Linked DNA regions of Astyanax mexicanus. The main gene of each other region encodes a partner of the protein of the gene in region 2 in a complex. Links are inferred from orthologs where the notes say so. Each region holds a gene or a part of one and is shown on either strand. Other genes may lie near its edges.

What was found.
Region 1: the proteins of nalcn (region 2) and nalf1a are in contact, whole or in part, in a cryo-EM structure (PDB 7CM3), measured with the Homo sapiens proteins. The link is inferred for Astyanax mexicanus from reciprocal best matches to the Homo sapiens genes NALCN and NALF1. Residues at the interface, in NP_001337678.1 of Homo sapiens: Cys207, Val209, Asn220, Leu222, Ala223, Ile224, Pro225, Thr227, Tyr237, Pro240, Phe243, Tyr406, Glu409, Phe909, Ala1044, Lys1045, Asn1047, Pro1049, Arg1054, Ile1060, Arg1062, Ile1063, Asn1064, Val1065, Ser1066, Lys1069, Lys1080, Lys1081, Gly1083, Phe1084; in NP_001073865.1 of Homo sapiens: Lys278, Glu281, Phe282, Val285, His287, Lys288, Tyr289, Leu290, Gln291, Glu294, Tyr295, Ser296, Val297, Lys298, Ser299, Tyr308, Trp311, Leu312, Gln315, Leu335, Gln338, Thr339, Cys341, Phe343, Ile344, Leu345, Pro346, Asp347, Asn348, Asp349.

Annotation. Positions count from the first base shown.
Region 1 is NC_064428.1:21,849,995-21,857,380, reverse strand, and holds the start of nalf1a (NALCN channel auxiliary factor 1), read right to left. Parts: upstream 3,003-7,386; 5' UTR 2,608-3,002; coding exon 1,750-2,607; intron 1-1,749. UniProt on the Homo sapiens protein: Auxillary component of the NALCN sodium channel complex, a channel that regulates the resting membrane potential and controls neuronal excitability.
Region 2 is NC_064418.1:3,881,898-3,889,632, forward strand, and holds the start of nalcn (sodium leak channel non-selective protein), read left to right. Parts: upstream 1-4,699; 5' UTR 4,700-4,772; coding exon of another isoform or gene 4,773-4,799; intron 4,800-4,958; 5' UTR 4,959-4,978; coding exon 4,979-5,020; intron 5,021-6,403; coding exon 6,404-6,544; intron 6,545-7,735. UniProt on the Homo sapiens protein: Voltage-gated ion channel responsible for the resting Na(+) permeability that controls neuronal excitability. NALCN channel functions as a multi-protein complex, which consists at least of NALCN, NALF1, UNC79 and UNC80.

The DNA.
Region 1 (7,386 bases), on a different chromosome or scaffold from region 2:
CTCTTAAAACTTGAATATGAACTGAACTTGTTTTCTTTGCATTATTTGAGGTTTGAATGCTCTGCATCTTTTTTGCTATTTCAGTCATTTCTCATTTTCTGCAAATAAATGCTCTAAATGACAATATTTTGATTTGGAATTTGGGAGAAATGTTGTCTGTAATTTAGTGAAATAAAACAAAAATGTTCAATTTATTCAATATATTTACCTATAAATAGCAAAATTAGAGAAATTGATTCAGAAACTGAAGTGGTCTTTTAATTTTTTTAGAGTTGTATGCTGTGGACATAAAACGCATGTTATATCGATATGGATCCATGTACAGCATTACATTATATAAATGTTTATATCTCACCTAGTTTACAAAATACTGATATTCACATATTGTTTAGCCCTATCTATGAGTCAATTTGCCATTACTGAAACAACTGTGCAGTTCTGGAATCATCTGAAAGAACATCTAACAACAAGTGTTTGGAGAGCGCGCGCCCTGTCCATGGTGCTGAACCTGACAGCTCAAAACACCACCCTAATAGATCAGAACAGACCATCTACCATATGAACGCAGCAGCTGAACAGACTCATGCTTCATTTCTGGATGAGGATATTGCTCCACAACGGCACAAACATCTCCTTTAGAATTTAAGCTTGATGCATCGACCCGAGCGGCGCCGCATCAGTGAACAACAAAGGAAGCGGCGCTCTGATATGAAAATGCACTTTTTTGTGTGTGTGCGTAAAACACATTTCAACGAAACTGCCAACAGTTACCATGACGACACGGGTGGAAGACCCAACTCCTCAGCTATCACAGAATGTTCACGAAACGTTGTGTTTTGGTTTCCTTTTGGTTGTTTTGTGGCACGTTCAGACAATGTTGTTCTACTTTTGTTAGAGAATAGTCTAACAAATTACCTAAGAAAGAACCTTATCTTAAAGTTTTCTTTAGGATTTATTTCTCATATGTGAAAAAAGAAACTAACGTTCCACTAACGTCCCTGGATTTTTTCTCATGATACAGTAAGAGAAAAAAATAAAACTGTAGAACAAATATTTGAGTTTACTAAACATTTCTATGTTCAATTTAAGGGTTAGTGCAAGGTACTCCTAAAGTATCAACAATTTTATGCTTACAGGAACGTTTAGGGGAACGTTCCTAAAATTATAGTGCACAAGTAAACGGGAATGTTCTATTTCTTACTATTTCTTCTGTCAAGCAGTATATTAAACTTCCCCCGAAGGAACCAAAAATTAACCAAAAGCAATCCATTCCCAGAACGTTCTGAAAACTTTAAAACCTAAAAGTACTGTAATGAATTTATGAGAACTACCAAAGAAAGTTAGCTCAAAATTGTCTGCAGATTTTTATTTCTCATGTGTATAAGGAAACTTTCCAGTCACGTTATTTTTTCTCATGATTCAGTTAGAGAGAAAAAAAAATCACTTTACATTTTACAGGTTACTGCAAGTTTACCTCAAAGGGCTCAATCGTTTGAAGAGTACAGGAACGTAAAGGTAATGTTTCTAAAATTATAATCAAACGGGATCTTTTTTTTATTTCTGTAAAGCTATAAATTAAACTTTTCCTTGAGAACCAAAGGTCAACATAAAATAATCCATTAGCACGTGTGTTACCGTTTCAGAATTCAAAAACTAACGTTCCCACAACGTTCTGTAACAATCCGAAATGAACAATTAGCTATAAACGTATCTTTTAAGTTAGTTAGTTTCAGTTTCACCAGCCCCTACCTTGCACTCCTCCATGCACGTCCTTACTGAGTAGGCATCCGTTACGTATCGCTCCGTCATGAGCTCAAACTCCTCGTATTTTTCCTGCGCGTGCACGTCGTAGCTCTGGTACGCCTGCACGCACGTGCTGCAGCGGTCCAAGTCGCCGGCGCGCATGGCGTCCACGCTGCAGTTCAGGAGGTCCGGCCTCGACCTGCCCTCCAGCAGATCCATGAGGGAGTACGAGTCGCAGAAGGAGAGGCGCAGGCGGGCCGCGAGCGCGCTCCACTCGCCCTCTCCACCTTCAGCTCCACCTTCAGCTCCAACTCTAGCTCCGGCTCCGACTAGAGCTCCCCAAAGACCCTTGCACAGGTGGTCGGCGTCCACGAAAGTGAGGCAGTTCTCAGTGGAGCAGTTCGCTATAAAAATAACATCTTCGTTACTCCTGAGGCTGCAGGGCTCGTGGCCCGTTCCTGTTCCCGTTCCCATCCCCGATCCCGTCTCCGTTCCCGTTCCAGAGTCCATGATGTCCGTTCCCAAGCTTGCGCACGCCGGCCCCAGGCGCTCAGAGAGCAGCCCGGTGAGGAAGAGGAAAGAGGCCAGTGACCGGCGCCATCGCCATCGCCAGGCCCTCTGACAGTCGGTGGAAATCGGCTGCGCGTCGTTGTTGTCCTCCTCCTCCTCGCTGTCGTTGTTGTTACTGTCGTTATTGTCCTTATTGGAGCTGGAGCTCCGACCGCGTGCGCAGCAGCACCACCACCACCACCAGTACCAGCAGCACCAGTACCAGCACCAGCGCCAGCAGCGCGTGCACGGGTTGGAGCCGTCGTCGTCTCGCTGCCGATGATCCTGTCGAGCCTCGCGAGCGCCGCTGGTCATATTTCGGGCGCGCACGGCGGCACCACCAGCAGCAGCAGCTGCAGCAGCAGCACGGGCCGACTCCACCGTGGGGGCTCCTCCGCCACCGACGCCGCTATGGTCATCGACGTGTTGGTCCGCCGCTGCCGGTACCCCTGCCTCTGCCGCTGCTTCTACCCCGCGTCGTGTTCCCCCCCACCGCTGAGGAGTCCTGCTGCTGCTGCTGCTGCTGCCGCCGCTGGTGGTGATGCTGATGCTGCTGATGATGTTGGTGGTGCTGATGCTGGCACTGATGCTGGTGCTCGAGCGATTCCAAGCGAGCGGTGGGTTTTACAGCGCGCATCCTCGACCCCCCGTGCCCGCGAGCCGCCGCGACTCTACCAACAGAAAGAAGCAGGCGCGAGGCTGCGGCGACATGGCTGGCTCTTCTCTTCTCCCACCCCCCCACCCTATCCTTCCCTTATCCCCCCACCTCCTCCTCCTCCACCACCTCCGCGCGCGTGCCACCCCGGCGTCCGGTCCCGTCCTGTCCCAGCACGGTCCGTCTTGTCTTCTAGCAGCGCGTCCGCTCTTCTCGTCCTTCTTTGCGCGCGCACGCCGTCCCCGCTTCCCCCTCCGCCGCCGCCGCTGCTGCCGCCGCCACACGCTCGAGCCTCCGCCGCCGCTCCTCCTGCTGCTGCTGCTGCTGCCGGTTCCGGGGTTTCTGCTCACGAGCGCAGGGACTGCTTTCAGCGCGCCGATTCTTTACGCTGGGCTCTGTTCTCTCCACATCAGCAGCCACAGTCATCTTGCTCTACTGTTGGGTTGCCGCCATGTTCGTCTTGAAAGCGCTTTATTGAGAGCAGCAGCGTTTGCGTCATCCCGGCCGCTTTGAGGGATCTGCCCCGGCGCGCCAGATTCAACCCGGGGTGAGCCGATACATATCGATACCGGCGGAACGATACCCGAACAGAATGCACAGGTCAACGTCGGCTAAATACATGAACTGTGCACAGAAAAAAAAAAAAGAAAAAATATCTATCCTACCACTTTGCCGACTACGCTTTAGGCTAAAAAAATACAGCCAGGCTCCTTGTTTTACATTTTTGTTACTGTAAAAAAAAGAGTAAATAATCACTGTCTCCTACAGTTTTAAAGTTCAAAGTCAACAAAAAACCCACTCCATTTACTATAAAACTGAACTGATGTTTTATTCTTCTTTTTTATTGCTTTATTTGGATCCTCATTATATCTATCTGCAAACAAAACAGACACAACATATCATACATAACAAATAACAAACAATACATCATAATTACAATGGTCAGTGTAACGTTTATCAGTTGAATTTTTCCGACCCTTTGAGGCTAAATTTGACAATAGAGACAATAGAAAATTGGGTGTTAACTTCATTATTAAATGTTTACATTTGACATATTAAAGATAAATTTGGGTTTTCAAATATTTTTTCAAGTTTTTTATTTCTGCTCCTCAAGATCAAATTTACATGAAAAAAGAAAAGTTTTCTGATATTACAATTGTTTTTTTTTCTGGAATTCAGATCCTAATCCGGCAGAAATTAAAAAGAAGAAAATCAATTTTTGTGTGTGCAAAAATTAAAATACAAAAAATTAAGATCTATTTTTATTTTTTTTATTCATATTGTGAGAGACAGAAATGAAACACTAGATTAAAAGTAGCCTCAAACAGCCAGAAAGGTAAACAGATAAACATTATACTGACCATTCACATAGTCATATATGTGCAGAAATCATTGTAATTTGTAGGCTTTCAGAAACTGCAAGGCAGACTAGTATTCCATGAAGAAGCACTCTGACTGAATCCAGTGATTTCAGAATAATAGTCAAAAACAATATTTACAATGCAATACCTAGTTATATTAATACAATTTCACAAAGACAGAAAACATTACACTCGAAACTATAATTACACATCAATATTTACTTAATAAAACATGCTAGACTTATATTGATTGGCAGTGTGTGTGTGTTTCCCTTTGAAAACAAGCCACAATTAAAAATATCAGCTCTACTCATTGGTGGGAATGCTTTTTTGAAAGCTTTTAATAAGTGCTTTCAACAGGTTGCCCATTCAAAAAAACAGTAGCATAGCAACATGATTGAGCTCATGAATATGAGGAAATCAGCAACAATAGCGGTCTATGTGGAGAAAGCCTCATTTAGCAGTGTTTATTTTGGTTGAAGTCAAAGCATGTCAAACTAATTCAGTTGTTCAAATGAATGTAATGTGCCCCGCACTGACAGACAGACAGCCCCTGAATACTGACAAATATTTAGATGTTCACTTCTCTCCCTGGTTAATACAACCTGTATCAGCAAAATCTCAACACCTCCAGTGACAGATTACATACAGTGTGGATATAATGTATTTAGGGGCCCTAAATGCTGTAAAAACTACAAAAATACATACTGTAATTGAATTTAACACTCATCTTTCACAAATATTAAGAGCCCCATATTTAAGTGAAGGATTGTTGAGTTTTTTGCTGATTAGAACTGAGCAGTTGATACCCAGCAATATTTGCATTTCCATTTTTCAAGATTTACTCTGAACTAAAATGTTGTTACAAAAATAAAGAAACGTTATCTTTGTGAGATAACCGCTGCTCCATCCCTGACATCAGAACCTATGCACTGTTTTATTTTAAAGGGGCTGAAGACACTTTCTGCATGTTCAGCAATAAATAATATTAATTTCACCTTTACGCATGCATATTATTGTCACAGGAGCCAAACACAGGACAGAAAAGTGCGGATACGATATAGATAATTTATTAAATATTTATCAAATTAACAAAATGGCAGCATAAATAAACAACATACCAGAGTGTGCAGCCAAAAAGGTCATACACAGGTAATCCAAAACAGAGTAATAGGGCAAGACAAAAGGATGGTAAATACACAGAAATAGGTCAGAGCCAAAAAAAGCTAACAAACAAACTAAAGAGCAGTCAAAAATACAAAAAGCATTGGCAACAAAAGTGTCAAAACACAAAATACGTTCAATACCAGGCAAGGAGTGAGTGAAAGTGAATGCTATTTATAGTGCAGAGTCCAGGTGTGTGCAATCAGTAGGAGGGCGAACTGGAACACCCATGAGTCACGTGATCCGGCATGTCCAGAGAGTTGAGTGCAGGTGTGTCATAGGAATTGGAGTTTGTTTCAGAAGCATTCAGAAGCTGACGAACAGTGACAGGACTGATACATTTTTGCATGATTTTTTTTTTGTATTTCCACTTGGGTCTTGACTGTACCTATAAACACTCCAACATTGCAAAAAAAAAACATCCATCCATTTTCTGTGAATCAGTTGAAAGAGTTAGGTATCAAGAATCATATGCTTTTAAGAGTAGTTTAAATAGCTACCTTTATTGTGATGTCACAATAAGAAAACATGCATAGAAACACCCTTGCACCACCCCTCATCCGTCAACCGCCACCAGAGCTCCACTCACTAGCTCAGCAATTTCAGTTATTTTGGTTCAGAATCTCAGACAGTGCACAAGCAGGATTAGCCAGCAGACTTCTTCTGACGGAGGGATCTATAGCTATCTAACCACTGTCTGTGGGAAGTCAGCAGTTGAGGGGTGTGTACGTAAACACTTTTACACAATGAGTGGTTTAACATGCTGTGAACGCTCAGCATAAACATTGCATAGCCAGTGACATCTTGTTTGCATAAAAGTGACAGAGCCCTCAAATGGCTTATTCTGAAAAAGACTGAAACTGACTAGAATAAGGCTGTGATTAATTATGTACGTGATTTTGTGCAAAGAACTTCATGAACTTGTTTTGTACAGTATGGCCCATAGACCTGTTCTAACTTATATCTATAAAAATGTAATTAAATGGTATAATATGTCTCCTTTAATGTTAATGGTAATATTGTCTCCATACTTTGCTGAGGTAAATGTCAGCTCTCCACCCTTTCATGGTAAGATATTAAAACAGAACAGGGTCACCATGAACAATTGAAAATATCTGCAACTGTAGGTTAACTATGTCTTATTTAAATGGCAATATAAAAGTGAAAATATATACAAAAATATATGAAAATATATAAAAGTGATAATACATAGTATAATACAAGCAATCCAGCATGGCATGGTAATAGCCAAGAAGACAATTTTATTGGTCTGGAATAAAGAAACTGCACCCAAATATAAAACGTGGCTTACTGAATAATTTAGTACACTCCATATGGAGAAAATCAGATATGAATGAAAGGGGGAAATTTGCTAAATTTGGTCAAATTTGGAACCCCTTCCGATGTATGTAGTTGACAAGACCAACCTATAAGAACCAACCAAGGTAGCTTGGATGCAAATGCGTTTAAAACCAGGAATAAATCACAAGGCAAAAGTGGTAGTCAAGGACAGGCAAGGATATTAAAAACAGAAATACCAAACACTGAAGGAAATCACTCGATAAGTCACTAGTGTGGCAATGTCTCACAATTAAACTAAGCAAGTGACCAGGTATATATATAAATAGTCCATGTAATCAGCTGATGGCCCACAGGTGTGTGGAAGGGGTGGAGTCAGCTATTAGTACTCTGGAGAAGAAAGTGTGCTGCTTCCTAAAAATATATAGTGATTAAGCTGGAAAAATATAATTTTTTGATGTAATCTGAAGTCTTATTATTATGAAGAATAGCCAAAACAATAGGCGCTGTATTCTAAAAAAAAAAGGTCCTTTGCTACTTGTCCTCCACACGTCTTGAGAAATGGCGTGTCAAGCTGAGCTGTGCTTGAATCTGAGTAAGCTGTTAATGTGAATC
Region 2 (7,735 bases):
GTTGTTAATAAAGATGATCTAATAATACACATTTTTTTTCGTAGTGTACAGTGTGTACTTTGTGATTTAGCTAGCATACGCTCATAAAGCATATTAAATAAACATTTTATGTGAATTAATATTTTAGTTCCTTCCATCAATTTTATAATTATTATTTCAATGCATATAGACCTACAATGTACAATAGCAATGTAACACATATATAGGAACATATACTAAGTATACAATGTAAATTAATTATATTATATATAGTAGTAGAAAACTCTTGCCATTTAGCATAAGCATGTACTATAATATAGCATTTGATTTATAGTGAACTGACTAGGAAACTACCAAACAACAAACAATTTTAATTTGTGCCCCTTTGAGTACGTCTGGCACACCACCCCCACATTGCATTATGGTATACATTGGAAATTCTAGTGTACATTGTCTAAACACTACATTTTGTGATGCATTATAGGTGTTTAATATAATCGTGTATTTTTAAGACTTCTAAAAGCAATAGAAATTGGCTGACGCATCATATAGTGCATTATTTCTGCAGTAGGAAGCAATTCTGAATGCAGCACAAGTGTTTCCTGTCAAAAGCATGCAGGATAAATGTTTTATTCGTTTTACAGATTTTTTTCGTTTTACCCTTAAACATGAACAGCCAATCAGCTAGCTGCTCACGCTGTGAAATGAGGAGGGTCAGCCTGATATTGGGGAAAGCACCCCTGGATGAGGAGATCTGAGTAAGCGCAGAAGCTATAACAAGATGGATTAATCACATTTGCTTTTGCATCATTGTACATCATGATGCCAAAAGTTACTAGCTGTTAATGGCATTTTTGTCGGACTATATCAGTGATTTAATATATATTGTTAAAATTGTTAAAACCCTTGGTTTAAAGTATTTGGGTATTTGCTCATTCAAACAGATGGAAGGCTGCTCTTGTATGAGTGGATATAACTAGGTAAAGGTGGAATCTGTCCACATATTAGGAATGTTAGGATGCATTTGTTGCCTTTGATTTGGATACAGAGCCATATGTGGTTTTATTACATAGTAATAAAAAGTAAAAAATGTTCCATGGGTGGAACGAAATTGTGATCTCATGATCCAGTTTACACCTGGCCTAAAACACACTACACTATTATTACTGCCCTCTCACAATAATACAGGGAACTACAATAATGCATGATTGAATTTGATTTTTTTAAGTGAATGCCGTCACTGATATAAATATCATTCAATTTAGCCAATCAAATGATATTTAAAAAAAAAGGATGATCTAGAAAAAGTCACTCACACAGTTTGCACTCAACTTAGTCTGTGTCTCCAAAAGTGCCCAAACATTTACAACAAATTACACATTCACTCACTAAATCTCAGTACTTACCACATTTAATCAACATCTAGACATTTAAATACCTTGTAAATCTCATGTTCAGCTGTTTCTATTGTTTTTAGAGCTGGAGGAGGTGGCAGGAAAAAACGTTGACTAATCGACTAATCGAAATAAATAATCATCCGATTATTTTACTACTTGTTATCAAAGTAAAAAGTAAAAAAAAATGTCCCATAGGAAAAACAAACTCCCCAATAAGTGTTGTGATTTATTTCCTTACTAAAAATATAATCTATGCCACAGAGAGTTAATTATTCTATAATGACCTATAGGTTCAAAGAGTTTAACAGGTGTTTCTTCCTAAATCCTCCATAAATATTAGATTTATACCTGAATGAACGTGTGTGTGTGTGTGTGTTATAGTTGTAGTCCTGGCTGTGTGCATTGATTGTATCTGGTGCTGGAGGGCCTGTGTGTGTCTCGTGCTGCTGCTGCTGCTGAGGACAGGGCGCGTGCCCGACGCTGCCGCTGCTGCAGTAGCCCCTCCGCCGCCGCTGCTTCTGTAACCGGAGCTCCATCATAACCGGCGTTCAGCGGGAAACATGGACCCAGCGGACCAGTGAGGCGCGCAGACCGACCCACAGGTGAGCGGCGCGGCGCTGTGAGGTGATGTTTAGCCCTGTGGACCCGTGGTTTCGCTGTGAGGGCCGTATAGAGGGATTTGACTGGGCTGTTTACCTGTAGATGTTAGCGTTAGCATTAGCTTTAGCAGGAAGTGCTACACAGGCTATAGCTAAAGGCCTTGGGTAAAATAAACGCGTATTTAGAACGAAAGAAGCGACGTTTTAACAACGTGTAGGTGCTGAAAACGAAGACAGGCAGTTTTTAAGCGTGTAAATGTGTTTTGTTTGTATGTATCTTTAATAATAAGACGATTTATCCTTTTTTTTCCTGAGCCAGTGGCAGCCCTGCTCTCATCTGTTACCATGGCAACCGGCTCAGAGTGTGTGTTTCTGTGTGTGTGTGTGTGTGTGTTGGCTCAGGGAAAGAGGGAGGGAGGAGGGGGGATGGGGTCTCCATGTACATATACACTTTTGGTATACAAACACATTTTCCTACTTTTGCTAGAATTATCTACTCTGAGTAGTTTTATAGCTTTTTTTAATATAAAATCAAGACAATCAAGACTATAGAGGACAGGCATGGCCTATAATGTGTGAAATTAATGTTAGCTAGCTATAGTCACGTGTTCCTCCAATTTAAAGTCCACTGTTAGTCAATGAAGGTGGTCCATACTGTTATACTGATGATCTAGGTGTACGTTTTCCTCCAATACAGATTATGTATATTATGCTGAGGGGCTGTTGCTGCTCTAGTCTGAAATAGGAAACCCACACGCCTCTTCTTATATACCCATTACACCTAGTAACACTTAACCTGTTTGTTATAGCTTAGCTATAACTTTAGCTATAGCTTTCCAGTATGCATTATGTGCCCATCACATTTTTACATTCATAATTCAGTTCCTGTTTCCGCAGTAGCTATAGCTCTCCAGTAGGGGTGGGGGATGTGGCCCTAAAATAATATTTCAATGTTTCATGGTATTTTCGTAATAACGATACTCTTGGCATTATATTTCAAGAACACACTACATATTTGTATCAGAAGTCAATAATCCAGAATGTCATGATACTAATAATGCACTCCAAATATCTCCATACATCCAGGAATAAAGTAATATAAATTGTAAAATAAATAACTGATACTGGACAGATAACTGATAATATAAATAAATATAAATTATATAAATTTCTCTTTTTAACTGTTCATGTAGCTTGCCATCAGCTGCCAGAGCCCTGAAAGAGCACAGAGGGCTTTGCTCTCTCTGGTGGGTTGATGGCGCTCTCTCTCCCCACATCACTCCAAAGGGTGATGTCGATCAGCACAAGGTGTCTGTGAGCTGATGTATCAGAACCAAGTCTGTGCGCTGTCCTCCGAGCATGCTGGCTGCGCAGTAATGCTACATCAGCAGCAGTATCGGAGGAGGCATGTGCTAATCTTTACCCTCCTGGTTATTATTCAGAACTACTACAGGCTACACAATTTTTGCAATAATTTGACTTTTCAGTTAAAGCCTTTCAAATAATTTGTCACAAAATGCTTTTAGTTTGCTTTAAACCACATTGTTATAACATTCTGATTACATCTTTACTGTGCAAATAACCCTGGATGATACTCTTTACATATTTAAAACAGTTTCATACTACTTTGTGATACTAGGGGGCACCCACAGCTATCATTAATATGCCCAGTGATTGCATCCTGCCTCTGGCGAGAAGGTCCTTTCTCCAGAAGTGAAACTAATTGCAGTTCTCTCCAACCTACTCCCACATTACAGCACACCCACCCTGTAATTTTGTTTTCACTCATCCATAAATCCTTACCAACATATGCTAAGTGTAGCAATTAAGGCCTATTTTGCAGATTGCTTTTGACAATATAGAGCTTTTTGAGTAAGTTGTTCTCACTTGATGGAAAAGTTCTCACTTAAGTAGCTTAAGATAAAAACAAAGGCCTGAGTGAGGGTACATCTTTATTTTTCAAGTGTGTGCTATTGGTGGTTTGTCAGGTTATTAGAGACCCCTGGCTGTTCCTGTGTTTCTGTGGTTGGCATAAGGCCTTTGTTAAATCAGATGTTTATATGGGAAGCATATTTAACATAACAATGTTATGTAAACATGTCACAAATGTGTATAAACGTCACACATGTATAGTGAAGCCTACTGAATATACAGTTTCTAAAGACATAGTTAGATAGTTGGTGTGTGTTATATTATATACAGCTTAACGGGAGCTTTGGGAGGTTTTGACATTGGCATTACAGTATTCTTGACATTTTTTAATGTTTTCAGTGTTTTGTCATATCGTCAACTATATTGTTATCGCAGAAATACCATGCAATATCGTGATATTATTTTAGGACCAAATCGCCCACCCCTAGTTGGGAGCACAGCTTAATGTGAGCTTTGAGAGGTTTTCAGCAGTGCTAGATGAATGTTTTAAATGTGAAGAGGCTTTGTTTTGTTCATATATTGTTCATATATTGTAACATGCCAAATAAACTAGTATCCCATGACTTTTGCCATAAACCATGTATGATAAAGAACACTGCATTGACTTGTGATATATGAATATGAGAGCATATGGGTCCACATGCTGCTGATAACAATTATTACCCTCCAATGCTCTGTCCACTGTAGGCCCCCTGCTTATGTTATAATTAGAAAGGTCTATATATTTTCTTTAGAACAAAAAATAAATCCTAATTTGAGTTTTTCTTTCTTGCTTCATTTTCTTTCCTACAGCCGCACAAGAAAAGTCACAGCTCTGCTGCCCATTTATCTTTCGTACTGGTTTCCACCCCTCTGTGTTCTGGGGATGAATGCACCAATGAGGAGCCTGACCGTGAGTCACATGACCCAGCAACCCCATCTGTCCAGAACACCCCATGTCGCATATATGCCTTGTCTGATTGTGGTGGACATTATCTGTTGATATAATCGTACTGTACACGTTGGTACACCATATATGCCATGTTGACTAACTGTTGTGTGTTATTTACAGGGTATGCCTGATCGCATGTTATGTGCAGTGCTGGAGCAATTTCAGCTTTACTTTTCCCGTTGGTATGTGCGCTTTGTTTCAGTTAGTGTGTGATATCCATGTATATTATTGTCCACTGTGAGAATGGCCTTTACTTCGTAGTTTTAAGCGAAACTCGGTATTGACTGCCTGTAGGTGTGTTTATATTGCTGAAGATCGAGCATGATCTTTGCAGCAGGTAAGTCAGTATATATATTGGTGTGAAGTGAACCGTGTTCTGTGTGTTTCCATGCGCTTGATTGTGCTCCACCTATGCCATGCAACAATACAATGCATACTGTCTGGTGCGGAGACGTGTTCTTATGTTGTAATGCGCAGCTCCCGTGGAGAGATATCTCAGATTTGAGACTTTGACCTTTGTTCTGTTCGTTCTGCATGTCAGTGTAGGCATACCTGTATTAGACTCTTCCTTCTCCTTTTGTAGCAAAACTGTATAAAATACTTATAGAAATAGTGCTAAACTTTGAGCTTGCTATACGCTTGCTTGTCATACAGTACCAGTCAAAAGTTTGGACATGCCTTAAATTGATTAATACTAATGTCATCCAATCTATTAAGAAAAATATGACACTAATTTAAAAAAATGTGTTAAACAAACCAGAATTTGTTTTAAATTTTAGATTCTTCAAAGTAGCACCTCTTGCTTGCTTAGATGACAGCTTCCTCAGTCAGCTTTATGAGGTAGAGTCACCTGGAATTCAGGCTTTCAGTTAACAGCTGTGCTGAACTCGTCAAGAGTTAATTACTTGAATTTCTTGCCTCTTAATGTGTTTGAGATCATCAGTTAAAGTAAAGTTGTGAAAAGGTAGAGTTGGTATACAGTGAATAACCCTATTTGAGTAATGTTCTAATCCAGATTATGAGAAGAACTACTCAACTAAATAAAGAAAAAAAAATACTTTAAGAAATGAAGGTCGGTCAATCCAAACAATTTCAAAAACTTTGAAAGTATCCTCAAGTGCTGTTGCAAAGACCATCAAAAACGTAATGATGAAACTGGCTCTCATTAGGACTGCCCCAGGAAAGAAAGAGCAAGAGTTTCCTCTGTTGCACAGGATAAGTTCATCAGAGTTACCAGTCTCAGAAACACTTTTAATTTACTACATGATTTCTTATGTGTGGATGACTTCAGCATTATTAACTTACAGTGTAGTAAAAAAAAAAGAAAATAATTTAAACATTGAATGAGAAGGTGTGTACAGGCTTTTGATTGGTACTGTTTATTACTGGATTATTATTATAGTCCATTGTAGAGCTTTTAATGCCATAGTTTAGTAGTGCATGGACAGCAGCTATTAGCATTAATTGCGACATTAGCTTTTAACACAAGCGGCTAGGAACATCGTAGCCCAGTGCTAACTGCGTTTGGAGTCAGTTTTGGTACTGTGTGTGGCTGTGTCTTTCAGATTCACTCCCTTTATAGCACGGCTAGTCCCAGCATGCTGAAGAGGAAGCAGAGCTCGCGCGTCGAGGCGCAGCCCATGACGGATTTTGGGCCTGATGAAACGCTCACCGACAGTGCTGACATCCTCTGGATCAACAAACCAGTGAGTCATTCAAATGAGATTGTGCCACATATCTGGCATTTCCATCCCTAGAAGTGGCAGCTAATAGACTGTGCCCTGATTATCCCTGATGGCTGGTGTCTCAGTGACATATCAGGACTGTGCGCTTACTTTTTTTTTTAGCTAGTAGCACTGGCTATTTTTTAAATCTAGCAGCTTATTTCCATTTCAGACTTTTATAGGATACAAACAATTTACATAATGAAATTATGTTTTTCTCTGGAGACGTTTTAACAACCTTTTGATGTTCTGCAAATCTTTCTTTGTATGTGTAAGAGCCGGCATTCCTTTTAAAAATACCTTTTCTCCACAATAAAAGGTGCTTTGCTATGTCCTTGGATTTACTTACTACACTATTAAGCTAGGAATGCTGTAGAATATTTGTCAACTGTGTTTCCTGATAACACTGCATATTTAATTTCATATTTTCTAAGATGTAATTGGCATCTTGCACTAACTAATAATATATAGATCTCTGGAAAAATAAAAGTTTCTTTGATTTTACCAAATTACTACAGGAATATAATCAAGAGGAATATGGATGGTCACAAGCTCTCAAACCAAGCTGAACTGCTTGAACTTTTGCACCAGGAGTAAAGCAGCATAAAGTTATCCAAAAGCAGTGTGTAAGACTGGTGGAGGAGAACATGCTAAAATGAACTCTCTTTGCTCATCAGGCATCTGTTGGATGCCCCACTGTATCATAGCTGGGAATCTGCACTTTCCTCTGAGCAATTTGGTTGCATAGTAAGGATGCAGTGGTAGCAATGGTTGCAAAATTGGGAAGAATATTGGGTAAACAACAAAAATGAATTGAACTAAAAATATTTTAACACATTATAGGGCTCCAAATTGTCCAGTGGTCTAAAGTGCTCCCACTATGATTGGTTGTCAATTGGCCTTGCTCTCTCTGGGTGGGTAGATGGTGCTCTTTCCCCACATAATTTCAATGAATGATGTCGATCAGCACAAAGCGTCTGTGAGCTGATGTATCGGAACCGAGTCGCTGCGCTGTCCTCCGAGCGCGCAGTGATGCTACTCGGCAATATTGCATCAGCAGCAGTTGGAGTTCTGGTGTTGGGGCATCACTAGTGGTAGTAGTAGGGGGAGTCCTAATGAGTGGGTTGGATAATTGGTCTTGTAAATTGGGGAGAAAATGGAATAAAAAGCTCA